Callithrix jacchus: one gene and its partners. The protein of the gene in region 3 interacts with the protein of the main gene of each other region in a pairwise test. Links are inferred from orthologs where the notes say so. Each region holds a gene or a part of one and is shown on either strand. Other genes may lie near its edges. The genes, in order: UNC119, CRMP1 and TK1.

Region 1 (6,757 bases), about 29 Mb from region 3:
CAGCCTTGAGCTGGTGCTCCTGAGTCGCTGGGGGGCCAACTCCTCCCTCCTTTCTGAGCTGGACAGCAGGCATTCTTGGCTGGGCCCCCAGAGTGCTGAGCTCCCTTACCCAAGCAGGCATCAATGGAGGGAGGAGGCCTGGATCAGGCTGATGTTGAAGCCAGTTGGGCTACAATCTGCAGCAGCAGCGTTTAGGATTCAGCTTAGCTCTGGGGCAGAACTTTCTCAGAGGCAGTCCAGAGGTGAGACTGACTGAGTCCTGAGTAACTTTGGGGGTTTATGTTGCAACTAGAGGGAGCTTCCAGCTCATGTACTGCCATTTGTCTCCTACTTTGGAGGAAATTCTTAGCCCTTAGAGATTGGGCATCTGTGGAGGGTAAGTCGGGGGAAGGGCTTTATGGGAACCCCTTCCTGTACAGGAGTTGAGAACCGAGTTCCAGGGCTTTCCACCCTGGCACCCCTTGCCTGGTCTCTTCTGACCCTAATCACACAGGTCTGAGGTTTGCTGTTCCCAGATTACTGGGCCCTGAATCCAGCTTAGGAAGCTATTTATGGTTGGGAGGAATAGAGCAGTTGTGGTCTGAGCCCTTGGCCACTCTGCCCCTATTTTGACCTGACCCTGGGTCCCAGGCCTCATCCTTTCTAGAAGGGAAGGAATGGTCATGGTGTTCTGAGCTATGGACATCCCTGTTCTTCACTTCCTCTAAGGACAGACAGGCTGATAGATTGAGTTTTCAGTAGAAGGCACTGAGATCAGACTGCAGGAAGTTGTTGCTAATTGAGAGAGGCTCCGAAAGTGAAGAATGGGAGGCAAAAAGGCCTTATGGATCTGAGAGCTGGGCACTAGGATCCTGCTCCCCACTCTGCCACCTCCGTTCCCTATGCTCTGTACATTCTCTGTGTCTTTATACTGGCGCTTACTTTCTGTGAACATAGGGTGAACAAGGTGAGGTAGGGGTGGCCCACTTCCATTCTCCCCCCACCCCACCCATGGGCTGTAGTAGACTCAGGGCCCTGCCTCTTCCCCAAGCTGTATAAAGTCTATACTGGGCCCCGGGGTAACAGATAACTGCCAGAAGGGCTTCCTGGAGGAGACTATCAGGCTTGGGGAAGAAGTGGGCCTGGGGAAGAGAAAATGACTTTATATTCACTTCGTCTTCCTGCCCCAGAGGACTAGGAGGTGGCCCAGGGGCCTGGAGGGTGATTTCTGGGCCTCGATAGGCCACCAGGGGAGGATGTGATGCTGCGCAGGCTGACAGCACCAGAGCCCCTCCCCGCACCTCTCAGCTCTCTTTGTTGCCAGGGCCTCCCTGAGCACTTGAAGTCGCTGCTGCAAGAGCTGCGAGGGTTAGATAAGGCCCTGGAGGTCCCCGAGCTTCCTCAGACAGGGCCTCCCACTGTTCTTGGTTCCCCTTCTGGGCCTGAGGACTCCCCTTACCCCTTCCACAACTGCTGCTGCACCTGCCATACCCTCTTCCTGGCCTAGCCTGTGTTCTTCTCTATGGGGGTCGGGGGCTACTTTCTCTTCTCTATGGGGGTCGGGGCGGGGGGAGGTGGCTCAGAGCCAGGGCTGTGTAAATGACCTCTAAGGGGGTTCCCTCTGCTTGCTAAGACTTCCTCCCATTTGGAGATCAACAAAGGATGAGAGTGAAGTTGGCCTCCTCCCCTGCCATATCCCAGGCTCTGGGCTTGAGTCAGCAGAGCTTTGGTTAAGCTGCTTAAGGGAGCTGGGCTGGTGTAAGCCTCTTACTGAGAGGAGGGGGTTGGGAGGGGAGGAGGAACAGGGAAGGGTTGTTCACCTGCCCCAGCACCACCCATGTCAGGAAAAGTCCCCTCAACATCAGCCTCACCTGACACATCTAGATGTCATGCCAGGGGCAACCGTGGGGCAAGGGTAGGGGTATCCTCCAGAGAAGGACTGTGACTCTACCAGGCAGAGCTGTGTGGTCCCCTTTACAGTGTGGTTCTCAAAGGCAACAGAGAGGTTGAGAGATTGAGTTTGCAGTAGAAGAGGCAGGTCAGACTGCAGGAAGTTGTTCCCAAATGAGAGGAGAGGCTCCCACCAGGCTGGAGATCCAGTTCTCCCAAAGTCACCTAGCCAGCCTTAGCAGAGCAGAGGCCAGAATGAGGACCATCAACTCCAGGGCGGGAGGGAGAGTGTCCTGGAGGTGGCCTTGTCCTCCATCTTTCTCTGCCCTGCCCTTCATTGGCCCCAGAGGCCACTGGGATGGCTCTCCTTATTTCCTGTTAGATCCCCATGGCTGAGTGATGTCTCTTCCACACTGGGGGTGTACCCCTATGGCAGGGGCTCAGGTTCCTCTTTCCAGAGGGCAGTGATCCCAGGGATGAGAAGATGGTAGCTACTCTGGGGTCCCACACAAGCTGACCTGGCAGCAGGGGCTTTGGGGCCCCCTCTTTGCTCAGCTGCCTGTCTCCCCTAGACTACCTCTGCTCCCCTGAGGAGAATATCTACAAGATCGACTTCGTCAGGTTTAAGATTCGGGACATGGACTCAGGCACTGTCCTCTTTGAAATCAAGAAGCCCCCAGCTTCAGGTGAGTGGGCTGGGTGAGCCATTGACAGGCACGAGCTGTGGACTGGGCTGCCAGGGACTCCTTGGGCCACAGAGGAGTCCACAGAGCTGGGGCTTGGACCCCAGCATTCTCAGGAGTCTGCAGGCAGAGGGGGCCCCTTCTTTTCCTTCCCATTTGTTTTTGAGGCTGGACATCTTCCGAAGTCAGCCCTGTCCCTTCGGTCCCTGGCAGCCTGACCTCTACAGGCCTCTCTGGGAACTGCAGTCCTATGGGTCCTGGGAACCACAGTGGCAATTGGGAACCTGCAGACCTAGAACCCCTAGGTGGCGCTATTCGGCCAATGGTCTGACCCCTCAGTGTGCCCCAGAATTTCTTGGGGAGTTATAAAAAATTCAGACAGATGGGGGCCTGAGGGTAGAACCCTGGGTGGACAAGGGCCCAGCCTGAAGCCCACTGAGCCCCAGCGGGGGTACATTGCAGAGCGGTTGCCCATCAGCCGGCGGGACCTGGACCCCAATGCTGGGCGCTTTGTCCGCTACCAGTTCACACCTGCCTTCCTCCGTCTGAGGCAGGTGGGAGCCACGTGAGTCACTGGGCAGGAGGTGGGGTCAAGGGGGTGAGGGAGAGGGTGGGAGTGGGCCCTTCTCAGCCTCTCCTAGGGGTGGCCTGTCCTGAGCCTGTCTGGCTGGCTGACTTCAAGGACAGACTCAACCTTGCCTCCTTTTCTTGTGCTCAGGGTGGAGTTCACCGTGGGAGACAAGCCTGTCAACAACTTCCGAATGATCGAGAGGCACTACTTCCGCAACCAGCTACTCAAAAGCTTTGACTTCCACTTTGGCTTCTGCATCCCCAGCAGCAAGAACACCTGCGAACACATCTATGACTTCCCCCCTCTCTCCGAGGAGCTGAGTGCGTGGGCAGGGCCTTCTGCGAGTGGGGATGTGGGGGATGTGGGGGGGGTGTGTAGAGACTGAGCTATGGGAGGGAGGGGGACTTCTGGGTCTGACCCCATTTTTCCCCACCCTGGGGCTCTGTGTCTGGCACCAGTCTCATATCATCTGTAGAGAAAGAGGCTGGCGATATCTCAAGTTGTTGCCATCCTTGAACCCCAGTCCTAAAGCCCCTGCAGTGGTCGGAATCAGGCTCCTGACCTTTGCCCGGCCTGGCTGGGCCTCTCTTGCAGTCAGCGAGATGATCCGCCACCCATATGAGACCCAGTCTGACAGCTTCTACTTCGTGGATGACCGGCTGGTGATGCACAACAAAGCAGACTATTCCTATAGCGGGACACCCTGACCCCACGGCTGGCCCCACCCCAGGAAGCTCCGGTTCTGGGCCCGGAGCTGTGACCTCCCCAACGCTCACCCCTCAACCCCAAGTCCTCTGCTTGGGAAGTGCTCCAGGAGACCTGGACCCTGAGTCAGTGTTGGGAGGAAGGGTACCTGGTGTCCCAGTCAAGCCCGTGAAGCCCATGGGGCCTGCTGCGTGGGGTGGGGTCGTAGGGAGGCTGTTTGCCTCCATGTCTAGGAAGGCCTATGAGAGGAGCAATCAGGACTTCCAGACAACTTAGCTCAGCCCTCCTTGGGCCCAGTTTCAGAATAGTGTTCCCCTATCAAGGCTGTGACTAGGTCAGGCAGGGATCCATGCCCTGTCCCTTGCCCACTACCTTCAGGCCACTTAGAGTTGTACTTTACAAAGATCACGGTGGGCTCCAGCTGCCAAGCCACCCAACGGAGTCTGGGCCCTAGGCCCAGCCCCATTCCTCCCATGAGGGGCCAGGACACTGCCTGAGGTGTAGGCGGGACTGGCTGAGATTGCAGCCCATGGTAGGAGCTGGACCAGCTGTATATAGTTTTCAATAAACTGTCTCCTTTTCTGTTCTCAGGTGTGGCCAGCCTCTATGTGATGGGCAAAGAAGGGAGGGGGGATAGGCAGGAATGTGCTTAAGGTAGTAAAAAATTTCTCCTGCCTCCCACGCTCCAGTGCACTCTAACCCCTTGGTCTTCCTGACCTCTGATTCTCTGTGCTCTGACACCACCTAGAGTCAGCATTTAGAACAGGATGGAACTGGAGAGGGTCTTTCTTGTGATGAAGGAGACCCAGATCCTGAGAGGGGAAGCTTTGGCCCAAAGTCAGAGTCAACCCTGGCAGAACAGAGGCTGAAACAAAGGCCCTGAATTCCCGGGTGGGAGGGAAGGTGTGGAGGAGGTAGCCCTGTCCTCCACGCTACCTTCCCTGAACCCCAGAGGCCACTAGGACCATTGGGTTGTGCTTTTAGCCCTTATCACAGAAGGTGGCAGGGCTTTGGCTAAGGCCTGGAGCCATCTCCTTGTCCTCAGCTGCCTTGGGGAGCCCCCATGCCGGGGCAGCCCTGCACATAACACTGCTCTCAGCCTCCACCCCCTCCCCAGATTCAGAGGAGGAGGCTCCTTAATGGAGGAAATTCAGGAACTGAGGTGGGCAGAGAACACACCCTATACCCTACAGTTCCAGGCCCTCCAGATATGCCTGGAGCTGACCTACCCTCTGGGCTGAGGAGCTGTGGCCCCAGGAGGCCCAGAAGTGCTGGAGTTCCGCTTGATTCTGTGAAGCTCTTGCTGGGAGCAGGCAGTGGGGCTAGGATCTGCACTGAATTCTGGGAATTCTGAAAAAAAAAAAAAAAAAAAAAAGACTGGGTACATGGAGAGCAACAGAGTTGTTCTGTGTGGAGGGTTCTGGAGAGGAGTTTTAGAGGAGGCAGCACTGGAGCAGGTGCTTGTGATGGGAAGAGTTGGAAAGAGTGCTTAGGCACAGGGAACAGCCTAAGCTAAGGTTCAGAGGCAAGATTTATCAGGTGTATTTATTTATTTATTTATTTGAGAGGGTCTCCCTATGTTGCCCAGGGTGGTCTCGAACTCCTGGGTTCAAGGAATCCTCCTGCTTTGGGCCTCCCAAAGTGCTAGGATTATGGGTGTGAGCTTAGGTGTGTTCAAGAGTGAATGTAATGTGAAAGGAAGACACATCTGCAGAGCCTCAGGAGCGGGGCTTCTGAGAGGTGGGAAACCCCTGAGGAGGATTAAGTGGGCATGACCTGGTCAGATTATCTTTGGCTGCTGAGTGAAGGGCAGATTGGAAAGAATGAGACGAATAATAGCCAAGATTTACTGAGTGCCAGGCCCGGGGCTGGGTGCTCTACATGTGTTGACTCATAAAACATGGTCATTTCTGAGGAAGCCACCATTATGCCCATTTTACAGAAGATGTAGGCCCAGAGAGGTTAATGTGCCTAGCCAATATTGCACAGCTACGAAGTGGCAGAGCCAGTATTTGAATCCAGGCAGTCTGGCTCCATGCGCGACCATACTAAGGGCAGGGGGCAGTGAGGATGAGGAGGGTACTGCAGGAATCTGGTGAGAGAGAGAGAACCTGAATTAGATCAGTGTCCTCAGAGATGGAGAGAAACAGATGAAATTGGTATTTTTAAGAGGTGATATCCCAAGGACTGGTGGCTGATGGGATGAGTGGGTTGGAGAGAGGGAGGAGGCGAGGCTGATTGCCTGCTTTGTGGCCTGGGTGCTAGAGCGGCTGGGGTGCCATCACTGGGCTGGAGAATGCAGGTTGGATCAGGGAGATGCCAGTGGGAGATGATGACCTCAGATTGAGACATGCTGGGGCATGGAGGAAATGACCAGAAGACAGGAAAGACAGGTCCTGAGACCAGGAGGGGAATAAGGGCTGGAGGTGGTGATTGTCGAGGCCATTGACCACAAGGTGATTGCTGAAGCTGTGATGGTGGCTGAGATCATGGGGTCCTCCACGGACACTGTTGTTATTTAGTGAGCAGGGGACAGGAATGCCAAATGTCCTGCAATTACCGGGACTCTCCCAAACAATGTTTTTACAAGAAGAATCCCCATCCCCCAGTTGAGGGTCCCTGAATGAGAATGTATCACCTTAGGGAAGGCCAGTATTTGAGAGCAGGGCAGAAGGAAAGGAACCAGTGGAGATAGGAGTGAGCCCATGTTTTGGAGGAAAGAATTCATCACAAAGCAAGTGGGCAGGAACCATCAGCTGCCACAAAGGTAAAGAAGGAGAACATGGATAAGAATATGGAGGGGAGGGATTTGTTTGCAGATGAGGCTGTATGGTACAGAAGTACACTATAGGGCTGGTTTTGCTGTTGTAATTTATGGGGTCACGTCTGCAGAGAAGCTATAGAAAGGAACAGGACCTTTCCCCACCAT
Region 2 (6,849 bases), on a different chromosome or scaffold from region 3:
TGTCTCAAAACAAACAAATCAAAAATAAATAAATAAAATAAAGACTTACATAAATTCAAGAACCTTTACACTGAGAAGTTTCAATAGAGTGAACATATGAATTCTTTCTAATCTTATCTATAAATTTGATGTGATACCATCAGAAAATTCAGTTATTTAGCTAAGAAAGCAGAGTTCACAGATGGGAAATGTGAGAGCAGCCGAAATAGTTCTGAACAAGGGAAGTCTGGGGTGGAGGTGTCAGTCATCCCAGTTATTAAAACATGTTATAAAGCTTCAATAAATCAAACTGTTTGGTATGGGTACAAGAAAAGAGAGCCAAGGAATAGACTGATTGCATTTGAGAATTTGGTTTGCAATTCTTCCATAGGAGACATTTAGGATTAGGAAACAATAGCTACTCATGCAATTGTGTTAGAACACCTGGCTCATCAGGCTTAACCTCTGCCTTGCTGTTTACTACCAAATAAATCAAATCATGGATCAAAGATTAAGTAAAATAAAACTCTAAAAGGACTAGAATAAAACACACATTTTTAAAAATGGCTATTTTGGAGGGGAAAAGACTTTGCTAAGCAAAACACAAAACTTAGAAATGGTAAAGGAAAAGATTGGTCTGTTTGAACATCAACTACACAAAAACTATACAAAATAATCTGTGTGGCAAAAACAGTTAGTTCACGAGTTCCAGCGGCAGAGGACCAGGGAGGGAAGAAGTGTTTGCGGCACACGTAACAAAGGATAAATTCTTTAACAGTGAGTGTGTACTTTCAGAAATCAGAAGAACGCCAAGACCCTGAGAAATAGAACAATGTGCAAATACACAGTGACATGGTAAGAAACACAGAAATGGCACGTGTTGATTTAAAAAGACCCAATGTCAGTCACAAATGCAAATAGCAACCCAGAGATGCTGTTTTTCACTTGTGCCAGCAACTGAGATCAGGAGTTTAATATACATAGATACTGTTTACCAAAGTCTGTCAGGTAAGCTCACAGTTTTGTTGGGAGTGGGAACTAGCATTGCCTTTTTTGGAGGGCAAATCTATTAAAGGTGAAAATCCGTTTACTCTTTGGCGTCAAACTCCACATCTAGAAACGTGTTCGTGTGTGCAGATTGTGGGTGCAAAATCTGTTTCAGCATTGTTTTTAGCAGAGGCATGGCAAGGACCCAACTGTTTATCCTTGGGAACTGGCTGTGTAAGTGGTAGCACATCCTCCTGATGAAATACGGTATAAGAGTGTAAAACTATTTTGTGTGTGTGCTGATACAGAACAATTGCTGAGGTAAGGAAAAATCAAGGTGAGACATGTCTGTGTAGAGATGTGTATACGTGAGACAGTTATTCATACCTTGGACATACATAGAGATATAGAAGGAACTCTTCGAGACATATGTCTCAGACTCAAGTAGAAGACAGACTTCCGTTCTGTCAAATATCTTTTTTACCATTTGATTTTTTTTCAACTGTCTATATGACCTACTTTTAAAATAATAAATAAAAAGCAGTTGGACAGACAAGGTCAGGCATTCACTTTTTAAGAGTAATGGAAGAAATGTGTTTTTGTTTTTGTTTTGTTTTGTTTTTTTGAGACAGAGTCTCGCTCTGTCCCCCAGGCTGGAGTGCAGTGGCGCAGTCTCAGCTCACTGCAACCTCCACCTCCCAGGTTCAAGCAATTCTCATGCCTCAGCCTCCTGAGTAGCTGGGATTACAGGTATGAGCCACTGTACCCGGCCAAATGTGTGTTTTAAAGGAAATGTTATTTTGTCTTTCAAATTAGCTGAGAAAGAAAAAAATGGCACTCCCCAGTGCTGGAGGGGGTGACCCTGAAATGTCTCTCCCTCATGGCTGGTACAGTGTCAGCTGGTCTGATCCCTTGGGAAAAGAGTTTGGCCATGTGCAACACATGCTTTAAAACAGCGCATATTCTTTCACCCAGTAATTTGATTTTAGAAAACTATCTTAGAGAAAAACTATTTAAAGAAGTATTTTAAATAAAGAACATTTTATTTATCTTTGCGTCTAGTATAGTCAAAGCAACCACATTGCCTAAGCCCACGGGGACCCCTTTGTGTTGGCGATGCCCCAGGACTGTATTGATTTGATTATAGAAAGCCCCCAGCAGCCCACCTGCCCAGCGGGGAGTTCTTGGTTATAGATATTCTGGGCCATTGGAGTATTATACAGTCAGTAAAAGGTGTTTTGAGAGAGAGAGAAAAAAACATTGGAACATGCTTGTGATATAATGTTAGGCAAAATCGCTGTTGCAAACAGCGGGTTTTGAGCAGAGCAAGCCAGGGAAGTAACGCTGAGGCTGTTGGTGCAGGCGGTGGAGTACAATATCTTCGAGGGCATGGAGTGCCACGGCTCCCCGCTAGTGGTCATCAGCCAGGGCAAGATTGTGTTTGAAGATGGAAACATCAACGTCAACAAGGGCATGGGCCGCTTCATCCCGCGGAAGCCGTTTCCAGAGCACCTCTACCAGCGCGTCAAAATCAGGAATAAGGTGAGTGTGTCCTCAGAGGACGGGCCCACCATGGGACCAGAACCGACAGCTTCTCTTGGGGAATCGAGGTCTGACGTGTGCGGAGTTAATAATGCCAGAGCCCTGGGAACCTCCCTTTCCTTCTCTGTTAAATGGGTTGGGACGCTGCCCTGGGCTCCTGTCTGAGGACAGGAGTGAGCATCGAATGAGGACATGCAAGTTCCAGGGTTTTGCAACTGTGGAGGGGCGTGCACCCATGAAGGTGGGTGGGTCGGTCACAGGAGGGACGCTTACCGAGCTGCCCTGGGCAATGTCCTGTGTCATCTTAAGGAATCCTGCACACTCACTGGAGCTGCTGTGATCCTGCTTTTGCAGCCCAGAGCTGTGAAGGGCTTAGCCAGAGTCACAGCCCAGAACCCCTCGGGCCTGGCCCTTTGGAGAGAGGCATTACCCCAGCCTCCTGCAGGTCGGGCTCCTTTCAGATCCACCCTTTCTTCCTGTCCCTCTTCCCTTGGTGGTTCTGCCCTGTTGTTCCTTGTTTTCCTTGAACCGCCTTAAGCACTGATCCCAGGACATCTGTCAAAAGCAAGGGGCAGGCTCTATTCCTAACAGAGCAACTGGAGGGGATAACTTCCTCAGCTGGGACAGACTGCCGCGCGTGGCCAGCATCTTCCCTCCCCAGGCCCTCCCACCCCTATGGCAGCTGCTTTCCCCATGAGACAGCTGATGTTTGCCAGAAAGGCCAGCTGCATGTGTGTGTGTGTGCACGCACGTGTGCATATGTGTGTGTGTCTGTGTGTTATGTGTGCATGTGTACATGCATGCACGTGTGTGCATGCATATGGGGATGTGTGTGCATGTTGGAGTGTGTGTATGTGTCTGTGAGCATGTGTTGAGCTGTGTTTGTGTGTGCACGCGATATGTGAGCATGTGTGTACATGCGTGGTCCTGCTCTTGGTGTGCTGAATAAGTGGCACCAATTGAGATGGAAAAGTCCAGAGGGCTCCCTGCTTTCCCAGGCTCCAACCCCAACTGGGAGGCTCTGCCAGCTCCCGTAAGGTGTAGCATGCAGGTCAAAGACACCAAATCGCACCAGACGAGGAAACAAGCATTGGGGCAGAAACAAGTCAGATCTGAGACGTGGCCAGGCATAGGCAGCAGACCACTTGAGGACAGGAGACTCATGGGAATCCCCGGCTGGGACACCCACGGAAGAGGCAGAAACACCCCTCGGCTGGCTTCGTTTCCTTCTTGGTCTGAACCCAAGGCCTGTGGTTAACAGTCAGCTTCCGTGATAGCAGATGTCTGACCCCAAATGCCAAGACAGCAGTCTGCTGGAGCACTGGGACCGGGGGTCTCACTGCACAGGGATTCCTTCCTTAGCCTGCAGGAGCTAGGCCGGTTGAGGGAAGAGACCTGCACCAGAGCCTGCCTCTGGCCACCTGAGTTTCAGGGAGTGATGAAGGGCCTTATCCAGGAGGCAGTGCAGCAGCCACAGAGGACAGTGGGCAGAGGCCAGGGAGTTGAGGAGCAGGGATCCAGGGAGAGGGGAGGGCCATCGACATGATGTGTAGGTGCTGGGTCTTTCAGCTTGGTGCTAAACTTGAGGCTTTCTCCTATGGAGAGGCAGAACTGGGGGTCAGGGTGCTGTCACCTGCTGCAGAGGAGGGAGCTGGGGCTGGGGTCAGGGCACTGTCACCTGCTGGAGAGGACGAAGCCCCATGTACGGGTAGAGCGCTGCCACTGACCCATGCTGGGACCCTGTGCAGGTCCCTGGACATGGGCTGTCCTCCATTGCCTGGAGCAGATGCCCTTCACCCTTGGCCATCCCTAGGGCACCAGGGCTGCTGTCGGCAGTTCCCAGCAGGCTGATATCCTCCTGCCTGGAAGGAGGACCCTGCTGCTTTCAGGGTCTCTGCCCCACCACCCTTCCCAGTAGGGCTGGGGCTGTGGCTCTGTTGCCCTCCTTCCCCATCCTTCTGCAGGCCAGTGCAGAGGCGTGCTCTCCACCCAGCATCCCCAGCCCTGTGGCCCACAGACCTGGCCCACTCCTGGTGCCTGTCTATACTGTTTTCTCCCTCCCTGTCTCACCTCCCCACTCCTGCCCCCTTTCTGCAACCATTTCCCAACAAACTACCTGCCCCCGGAATCTTTGCCTCACCATTGACTTCTGCAAGAACGTACATGAAGATGTGCCCTTTGCTGCTGCCTGTCTGGGATTCAGGGGTCCTTCCCAGGGGCAGGGGTAGGTGGCAGTGTCTGGGAAAGTGATTTATTCTTGGAAGGGATCTGGGGTTCTTCCGCATGATGCTTTGTACATACGTGTATGAGTGTGGATGTAAGTGTATATACGGGTGTGTATATGTGTGTGTGTGGGCACATATGCTTGTGTATACATATGTGAGTATATGCCTTTGAGTGTGAATATCTGAATGTGTTTAAGTGTGTGTATGCATGTTCATATGTGTATACTACTGTATAGGCATGTTTTGTTATTGTGCATGTGTGCATGTGTGTGGGTGCATGTTTGTGTACATGTATGTGATGTGTGTGTCTATGCATGCTTATGTGTATGAATGCCTGTGTGAGTGTGGGTGCATATGTGTGTTGTGTGTGTGCATGCACATTCGAAGTGATCTCAGGTTTCTCTCTTGCCCACAGGGCTCTGCTTTGTCTGCCCAGAATGGCACATGCACACAGTGTCGATCAATCACACTCAATCACACTCTCCCTTCCTCTGTCAGGTTTTTGGATTGCAAGGGGTTTCCAGGGGCATGTATGATGGTCCTGTGTACGAGGTGCCAGCTACACCCAAATATGCAACTCCCGCTCCTTCAGCCAAATCTTCGCCTTCCAAACACCAGCCCCCACCTATCAGAAACCTCCACCAGTCCAACTTCAGCTTATCAGGTAGGAAGCAGTGGCGGCCCAGGCTTCCCACCCCTGCAGCAGTTCAGCCCCAGCCCTTCCTGCTGCTTCTGAGGAAATGGACACGTGGCGTTGGACACTTGATGAAGAAGCAGGGAAGGGAGTGTGTCACACCTTCACCCAGAGCCTGTTCTCACTGGTGGGACAGAGTGGGCTGGCATGGTCACCAAGCAGAGGGGGGTCCACGTTCAAGAGGCAACATGGTGGTATCTGACCTGGGTTTACAAAGAGTGGCACCAGCACTGGCGCAGGGCTCATCCGTACACACACTTGGGGACACTTTCCCACGCTTCCTTGTGAAGATAGACGGTGTGATGGGGATGAACAGGCGATGAGAGTAGCTGCCATTGGCAGGGCACCTGTCCTCAGCCTGTGTGCCCACTTCAAGCACTTTCACAGCCCGTGATTTTATTTTAGCCTCACTACTCCACAGAGTGATGTTATACCTATTCATTTAAAGAGGAAACTGAAGTTCCAAGAGATCCAGTGTCAAATTGCCAGGACTTGGTGCTCAACAAATGTGCGGGAACCAAATTAGATATTGACTTGATCGCTCCTTTAAGGCCCCAGGGCGGCGTGTCTGCGATTTCGTCAGATGGCCACATGAGGGCAGGCACGCACACGTTGAGAAAGTCGAATTGGTAATTTGTCCTGCAAACGCTTAGAGGCATTGCCTGGGTTCCACGCCGCACTAGGCACTACGAATATGGTGATGTTTTTCTTTCTTAAAGGGCCAGCTAGTAAATACTTTAGACTTTTTGAGCTAAAAGGTAACGCCTAGGATGTTATATTCAATGGTGATTTGAAAATGTACAAACTGTTCTCAGGTCACAGACTACAAAAACGCGACGGGCTGGATTCGGTCAATGGAGCAGTTGGCTGACTCCTGGTCAGGAAAGCTGATAGGCTTAGCACAAGAGAGAGTGGAAGGGGCAAAGCGAGAGAGAGTTGGTGAAGCATGGATTTAGATTGTGTGGTGGGAGAGCCTCTTACCCATTCAGGAAGTGTCTGACTCAGTGGTTGTGCAGAGAGTCAGAATCGGGGAGGCCTCCCTATCCGTCTCAGTCTCAGTAAGACTTTCATGGAAGAGCTTCCAGTGTTTAATATTGTTGCACAAAATAGACCCTAAATAGAACTCTGATATTCATGTGAGGCTCAATGAGCAAAACAGGGATTGGCTTCAATATTGGGAAAAGCTGTCTGGGTATATAATAAGATGCAAGCTTTCGAGGAGTTTACAAACTGGACCTCTGTCCTGGAGTTACACAGTTAAGCATTGCACAGTTGCAATTAAACATGGACAGAAAAGCCTCCTCCCCATTATTCTTAGAGCAAGAATAACAATGAAGTCCAAAGCCTCCTGCAAGGGCCCCTCCCCACCCTTGTTCTCCCAGTTTCACTGTGAGTCCTCCTGAAGCCCGCAGCACCGCTGCT
Region 3 (6,849 bases):
TCCGCACAAGCCTTTCATCCAGATCTTAAAATAGCAACTGTGCTCATCTTGTTTACAAGATTTTTCTGGCCTTCGGTGCCAGGGTCCTGCTGTTCCCTTCCTAGTGTTGGGGTGGGGGTACCTGGGAGTTGCCCACTGAATGCCCCTTCCCTCTCAGCCCTTTCTTAGCACTGAAAGAGGAGTACCATGGGTAAGCCACATTTCTGCCTTCCTCCAGGGCTCAGCACCTCTGGACCCTTCCTGGGACACAGCAGGGAGTGGGCTTGGCCTTCCAGCCGCCCCTTGGAGATAAGACCCATCTCTGGAAGAGGTCAGGGCCCTAAAGCAACTCCTGGCTTCCTCTTTTGAGCAATGACAGAGTTGTCAATGGCAAGTCCCGAATGTTTAAAAATCCCCAATACAAAGTAACAGCACTGCTCCCAACCTCACCCGATGGCTTTGGCTTGGGACACATCACTAGCAAAGGGGAGGAGGAGGCTGGGGAGGCCCTGGCAGCGGTGACCCTGCCTGCCTAGGGCACACCTCACCCCAGCAATGCCTGAGTCCAAGTGAGCTGCCAACAGCCCATCTCTGAGGCACAGCTGAGAGGTGTCTTGATTCCTGAACTACCCAGCGTGTGTTTCACAAACAAAAACTGACCTGGAAGTCCCAGCGGGCAGGTATGCGCCCCCATCCTTCCTTCCAGCTGGGCCCTGGGCTCCCCTGTGCACCCATTTTTGTCCTGACACTGGCCCAGACAGGAAGGCAGATGATGTTCCCCTTAGGACACGCCCCACGATCATTTCTCAGTTAACCGGCTGTGGTTATGAGATCAGTATTACTACAGAAAGATCTGGGGGCCAGGCCCGGTGCCTCACGCCTGTAATACCAGCACTTTGGGAAGCTGAGACAGGCAGATCACTTGAGATCAGAAGTTCAAGACCAGCTTGGTCAACATGGTGAAACCCCGTCTCTACTGAAAATACAGAAATTCACCAGGTGTGGTGGCACACACGTGTAATCCTGCCTACTAGGGAGGCTGAGTGGGGAGAATCACTTGAACTGGGAAAGCAGAGGCTGCAGTGAGCCGAGACTGCACCACTGTACTCCAGCCTGGGTGACAGAGAACCTATCTCAAAACAAAACAAAGACCTGGAAGAAAATCCCCACCCACATCAGTTGGCACTGTCCATGAGACCCGGGGAAACCCAGCTTAAAGAGAAATGAGCGTCTACCAACCAGTGAATTTTAAGTTAGTTAATTTCATACACTACAGCAGAGACGTTGACCCTGCCCTCTTCCCACGAAGAGACAAGCACCTACAATCCAAGTCCCAGCAAGGCTGGTGCCACCCATGTGAAAGATGCTGTCGTTCCTGTGGAAACCATCACCAGAGGTAGGAGGGGCTTTGAGCCCAAAAGGAAGCAAGAGGGCATGAGTCCAGGCCATCCTCAGGGAGGGCAGGGGCCTATCCCAGGCAGAGGGGCCTAAGCCTCTATGGCCCAAGGCTTAAAGATGCTGGTGCAGGCTTCCCAGGGAGAACAGAAACTCAGCAGTGAAAGCCAGAGGGGAAGAAGCAGGCTGATGTCAACAGTGTGTGGCTGTCCCTCACCCCAAGCAGGGGGAGTATGCCAGATCCTAGGTCACCAGGCAGGGCCAGGTCCAGCCTGGGCGACCGTCCCAGCAGCCAAGAGGGAAGCTAAGCAGGCCGGTGGGCAGGAGAGGAGAGAGCACGTGGCAGGTGGGGCAGCTGCACAAAGGAGACTTCCCAAAGGCCAAGATGTGGTCACCCTCCTGGAGCAGGCAGGTAGCGTGGAGAGCAGTGTCCGCTAGGCGGCAGCGGCTGGAAGAGAGTGAGCAGCCCTTTCAGGCCCCTCAGTTGGTGGAGCTACATTGCAGAATCTGCTGCGGGGCAAAGAGCTTCCTGGCAGCCGCAGCCTCCCCTGGCTTTCCTGGCACGGGGCAGTTCTCTTTGTTGTCCAGCCCGGCAGGCTGGCCTGAGGCCTTCTTGAAGTAGCAGAGGCGACACACAGAGTGATACTTGTCTGCTCCTCCAATCACTTCGACCTAGCCGCAGGGACAGGGGATGGGTGAAGGGCCGGGACAGGAAGGAGACAGAGCCACGCCCCCACCCCACCAGCCCGCAGGGAAGACAGGTGGAGGTACCTCCTTTTCGGTGCCAAGCCTCTTGGTGTAGGCGGCTTCCCGGAAGCACTCCATGCATACTGCGGTCAGCTTCACCACGCTCTCGGCCAGCGGCACCAGGTTCAGGATGGTCCCAAATGCCTGCACTCCCATGGAAAGACAGTGGGTGCTCGGCTACCTTCCCAGGCGGGGTTTTCTTTTAAACCCTTTGATTCATAAGCACTGAAGCCAGGAAAGTTTGCTCTGACCTCAGTCCTCCCCCAACCCCCAGAGCACCATGCCTGGCTTTGTCTCCTTGCCAATTCAAACCACCTGCCGCAACAGATGGCACCTGGTCTGCATAGACCAGGGAGTCCCTAGGCTCAGGCAAGGACTGGTCTGAGCAGCTCAACTGTGCCCCTACAGTGGCTGGGCCCTGGCCACCCAGAAGCCCCCTCCCCTCCTGGAATCACGCTCCAGACCTGGATCAGACACCTTACCTTCCTCTGGAAGGTCCCGTCCAGTGCAGCCACAATTACTGTCTTCCCGGCGTTGGCCATGGCCTCACAGAACTCCACGATGTCAGGGAACTGGAAAGGGAAGGTGGAGAAAGCGTGAGAGTTTCCACCCTAGCAGCAGCTCCCTGAAGTCCCAGCAGAGACGCTGCCAGATCAGACAACTCCCGCCATTCAGCCTGGAGCAACTCTAACTCTTCCATGAGGTTCCTCAGGCTGGGGACTGTCCATGGGTGCCCTCCCAGCAGATGACAGGCACATCCACAACTGCCCAGCCTCTTCCCTCTGCAGCCAGCTTCTGCTCCGAGTCCAGGTACCCAGGACTCAGCATCAGACTTCCACACCTGCTGTGCTGTTTAACACTGCAGCGGCCAAAGGCTGGGGCCAGACATCTGCTGCCTGGGGCTCGGACACCGCTATTCCGAGCGGACACCATTATCTGTGTGACCTTGGCAGTGAGTTAACTTCTCTGAACCTGTTTCCTCTTCACTGAGCGATAGCAAGAAAGGTCCTATTGTGTAAGGACAGAAGGCACTAAGTTATACACATGCACTTCAGTGAGTAGCTGGGCATTTTGTGCTCTTGCCCCCTCGCCTTTTTAGACAGGTAATGTGCCTTGAGAAGGTGTGGGGGTCCTCCTGGCCATTTACAGAGCAGGATGACACAGCACAGCCTTCTAAATACAGGGCCGGCACAGAGCACATTTACTGCCTACATCAAATTTCACTTTGGCCCAGGGAGAAGCTGAAACTCTAGCAAGTGCTTTGGTGATTCTCATCAATCAGTCATATTGCTTTTAGCTGGTTGAGTTCACATGTCCAGACTGGCCTTTGGGTTGGCTGAAGTGGGGATGTTCCTGTCCTTGGGCACAGGTCTCTCTCCAGGAGCCCCTCAGGCTTTCCTCAGCCCAGGTACTGAGGTTTGAGGTTATTAAGACATTAGGGCTTAGCAAGGCGAGGACTAGGGGATAACTGGAAAAATTCCAGTGGGATCCAGGTGAAGCCTGATGTAACCGACTGCGCTCAGCAGACTGCAGGGGCCTCTAGAAAGAAAACCCAGAGACTCCAGCACGCTGGGCCCTGCCCCACCATGCACGTGTTCTCTCTTTTTCTCTGAGGATTCATCACATGTCACAAAAAGGCAGCTCCCAGTCTTGCTCCCCATTGCCCAGGCTGGAGGGCAGTGGCTCAACCATGACTCACAGCCTGGACCTACAGGCTCAGCCGATGCTCCCACCTCAGCCTCCCAACTAGCTGGGACTACAGGTATGTGCCACTACTCCTGGCTAATTTTTGTATTTTTGGTAGAGGCAGGGTTTCACCATATTGCCCAGGCTGGTCTCAAACTCCTAGTCTCAAGCAATTTGCGTGCCTCGGCCTCCCAGAGTGCTGGCATAACAGGCATGAGCCACTGTGCCAGACTCTTAAGTTTTTCCAGATTAAACTTACGAAGTCTCTAATCCAAAAGGCTCCAAAACCTGAAACTTTTTGAGTGCATACCACAAGTGGAAAATTTCACACCTGACCTTATGGGACAGCTCACAGTCAAAACCCTGGCTCATGCCCAAATTACCAGATAGCATATAAAATCACTCCCAGGCTATGTGGATAAGGCATCTATAAACATATCGGATCTTGTATTTACAGTTGGGACTCATTCCCAAGGTCTCATTATATTATATATATGCAAATATTCCAAAATCTGAAAAAATCAGAAATCCAAACACTTCTGGTCCCAGGCATTTACGATAAGGAACATTCAACCTGTATTACTTGTGTTAGTAGAACAGAAAACACAAAAAACCGTTTTTTGGTTTTTTTTGTTTGTTTGTTTTTGAGACAGAGTCACTCTGTCACCCAGGCTGGAGTGCAGTGGCATGATCTTGGCTCACCACAACCTCTGCCTCCCGGGTTCAAGTGATGATTTTGCCTCAGCCTCCAAAGTAGCTGGAATAATAGGTGTGTGCCACCACATCCGGCTAATTTTTGTATTTTCAGTAGAGACGGGATTTTACTATGTTGGCCTGGCCGGTCTCAAACTCCTGACCTCAAGTGATCCGCCCGCCTTGGCCTTCGAAAACGCTAGGATTATAGGTGTGAGCCACTGTGCCCAGCCAGAAAAAAAAGTTTAAAAAAATCAGAGCTTCCACTATTGCCAAGCAACCCTGCAGGCCCGCCAGACACTGTACAGCTGTTGATGAACGCATCGGGGAGGTGCTGGGGCCAGGGTGCTCACCCACCACCAGCATCTGAAGCACAGCACGCCCAGCTAGTGGCTTTGGGGTCTCCACATGACTCTCTCTTGCATGCCAACAATTTCTACAAAGCAGTGTGAGCGCCACTGTGCCTCACCCGGCATACAAAGAAGCACAGAAGCTTCTGACCTAGGGCCTTCCTCAGGATGGCATGGTGGCTACTCTATGAAAGGCTTTCCCTGCTGACCCAGAAAACAGGAACAAGGCAGGTCAGGCTGGGCTTCTTCCACTGTCCACGTAGACAATGAAGGAGGGAAGGACAGTCCTTCTGTGGGTCCCCATACTAGGAACCCCTCTCCTCCATCTAGAAATGCTTGCAGTGGGAAGATGCTAAACTTCTAGAAAGGAACAAGGGCACACAGAATGGCACAAGGCTGATGTCTGGATATGGGGTGTAATAAGCACTCCCTGAATGAACTAAAGTTTTACTTGTGGGCCAGGGAGGAAGTAGACTGAGAAATCTCTCCTTCAGGCTGGAACGGGACAGGACTTAATATGCTGGCTCCTGGATGTTACGGAAGGAGGAAGGAGAAGGGAAAGGTTTCTGCCTGGGGGGGGTCTGGGTCAGCATCTGTCAACAAGGTTTATGCAGAGCCAGAGCAGAGCTCTTGAGCAACTCACAGTGGCAGGTCTGAAGGCAGGGAGAGCCTCGCCAAAGCTAAAGCTTCCTTGCTCTTCCTTGTTCTGAGAGGGCCATGCCCCCAAAGCTGATGCAGAATCCCTGGATGCATTCCAAGGCCACAGTTTGGGAGCAAAAGAAAAAAATTGCAGCCCTGTTCCCAGCCTGGGCCCACCTTCTCGCCTGGAGTCTCTCAACCACACGGCGGCAACAACATCTCTGTGGATGCAGAGGTATGGGGGTGCCCAGAAGCGCACCTCTGAAGGTCAGAAATGGAATGGGCACACCCAAGCGGGGAGCAGTTGTCAGCTACTGGGTGATCTGGAACCCACAGCGGACACCGACAGCTTGGAGTCCAACTCCACAGGGTAAGGGACCAGTCAGCCTCCCCATGAGAATGAAATTTGGGGCTGTGACATTTAGAGAATGCTGGGCAAGAGCAGAACCAGGAACACAGGACTGCCCAGCTGGGGGGACAGTCCCTGGGATGTTCGGACAGGGTTTTCCAGCCGGAGCAGCCTGGCTCTATGCTGGGAGGCAGGATGGGTAGAGATCTTGAACCACCGCTCAGCAAACAAACCCATTTATTCTTCCTCCAGGTATAGAACTAGACTAAGTATACAGTCAAGGGTATAAAAATAGACTAAGTGTGGCCAGGCGCGGTGGCTCCCGCCTATAATCCTAGCACTTTGGGAGGCCAAGGCAAGCGTATCACCTGAGGTCAGGAATTCAAGACCAGGCTGCCCAAACAGCAAAACCCCATCTCTACTAAAAATACAAAAAAATAGCTGCGCGTAGTGGCAGGAGCCTGTAATCCCAGCTACTTGGGAGGCTGAGGTGGGAGAATCACTTGAACCTGGGAGGCAGAGGTTGTAGTGAGCTGAGATCGTGCCACTGCACTCCAGCCTGGGCCACAAAGCAAGACTGTTTCAAAAAAAAAAAAAAAACTAGACTAGGTGTACTAGACTAAACCTAAAGGTGACCCTGTGCCCTATGCCCAGATTCTAATCTTTGAAAGATCAGCAGAGGTGACATTTGCAACTTCTAGCCTGGCCCATGAAAACATCACACCCAGGGGCTCCGCCATGTCTCTCCTCTTCCGCTTCTGTATGCAGCCAGCAAGGGCGAACTAAGCCACCTCTGGGCAGCCTCCCCATCAGCTGGAACCATGTAGGGGTCTGTAAGCAAGAAACAAATTCCTATTGTGTTTATATTAAACCATCACACTGTACACTTAGAGGCAGCCCTAAAAGTACCTAAGGGGTTAAGTCTGCTAAGTCCCTTGGGAAGTGAGTTTCAGTTTGATTCATTTGTGATAAACTAACAACAATTTTAAAAAACTCCAAAGTAGAGGAAGG

Evidence for each region.
Region 1: the proteins of TK1 (region 3) and UNC119 interact in a two-hybrid assay, tested with the Homo sapiens proteins (2 studies listed by BioGRID and IntAct). The link is inferred for Callithrix jacchus from reciprocal best matches to the Homo sapiens genes TK1 and UNC119.
Region 2: the proteins of TK1 (region 3) and CRMP1 interact in a two-hybrid assay, tested with the Homo sapiens proteins (2 studies listed by BioGRID and IntAct). The link is inferred for Callithrix jacchus from reciprocal best matches to the Homo sapiens genes TK1 and CRMP1.

Annotation. Positions count from the first base shown.
Region 1 is NC_133506.1:105,062,369-105,069,125, forward strand, and holds the end of UNC119 (protein unc-119 homolog A), read left to right. Parts: intron 1-89; exon of another isoform or gene 90-151; coding exon of another isoform or gene 152-242; intron 243-1,822; exon of another isoform or gene 1,823-1,863; coding exon of another isoform or gene 1,864-1,894; intron 1,895-2,441; coding exon 2,442-2,555; intron 2,556-3,014; coding exon 3,015-3,117; intron 3,118-3,270; coding exon 3,271-3,443; intron 3,444-3,717; coding exon 3,718-3,830; 3' UTR 3,831-4,414; downstream 4,415-6,757. UniProt on the Homo sapiens protein: Involved in synaptic functions in photoreceptor cells, the signal transduction in immune cells as a Src family kinase activator, endosome recycling, the uptake of bacteria and endocytosis, protein trafficking in sensory neurons and as lipid-binding chaperone with specificity for a diverse subset of myristoylated proteins.
Region 2 is NC_133504.1:186,030,766-186,037,614, reverse strand, and holds part of CRMP1 (dihydropyrimidinase-related protein 1), read left to right. Parts: intron 1-2,328; coding exon 2,329-2,508; intron 2,509-5,231; coding exon 5,232-5,397; intron 5,398-6,849.
Region 3 is NC_133506.1:133,957,196-133,964,044, forward strand, and holds the end of TK1 (thymidine kinase, cytosolic), read right to left. Parts: intron 2,694-6,849; coding exon 2,604-2,693; intron 2,266-2,603; coding exon 2,146-2,265; intron 2,047-2,145; coding exon 1,855-2,046; 3' UTR 1,222-1,854; downstream 1-1,221. UniProt on the Homo sapiens protein: Cell-cycle-regulated enzyme of importance in nucleotide metabolism. Catalyzes the first enzymatic step in the salvage pathway converting thymidine into thymidine monophosphate.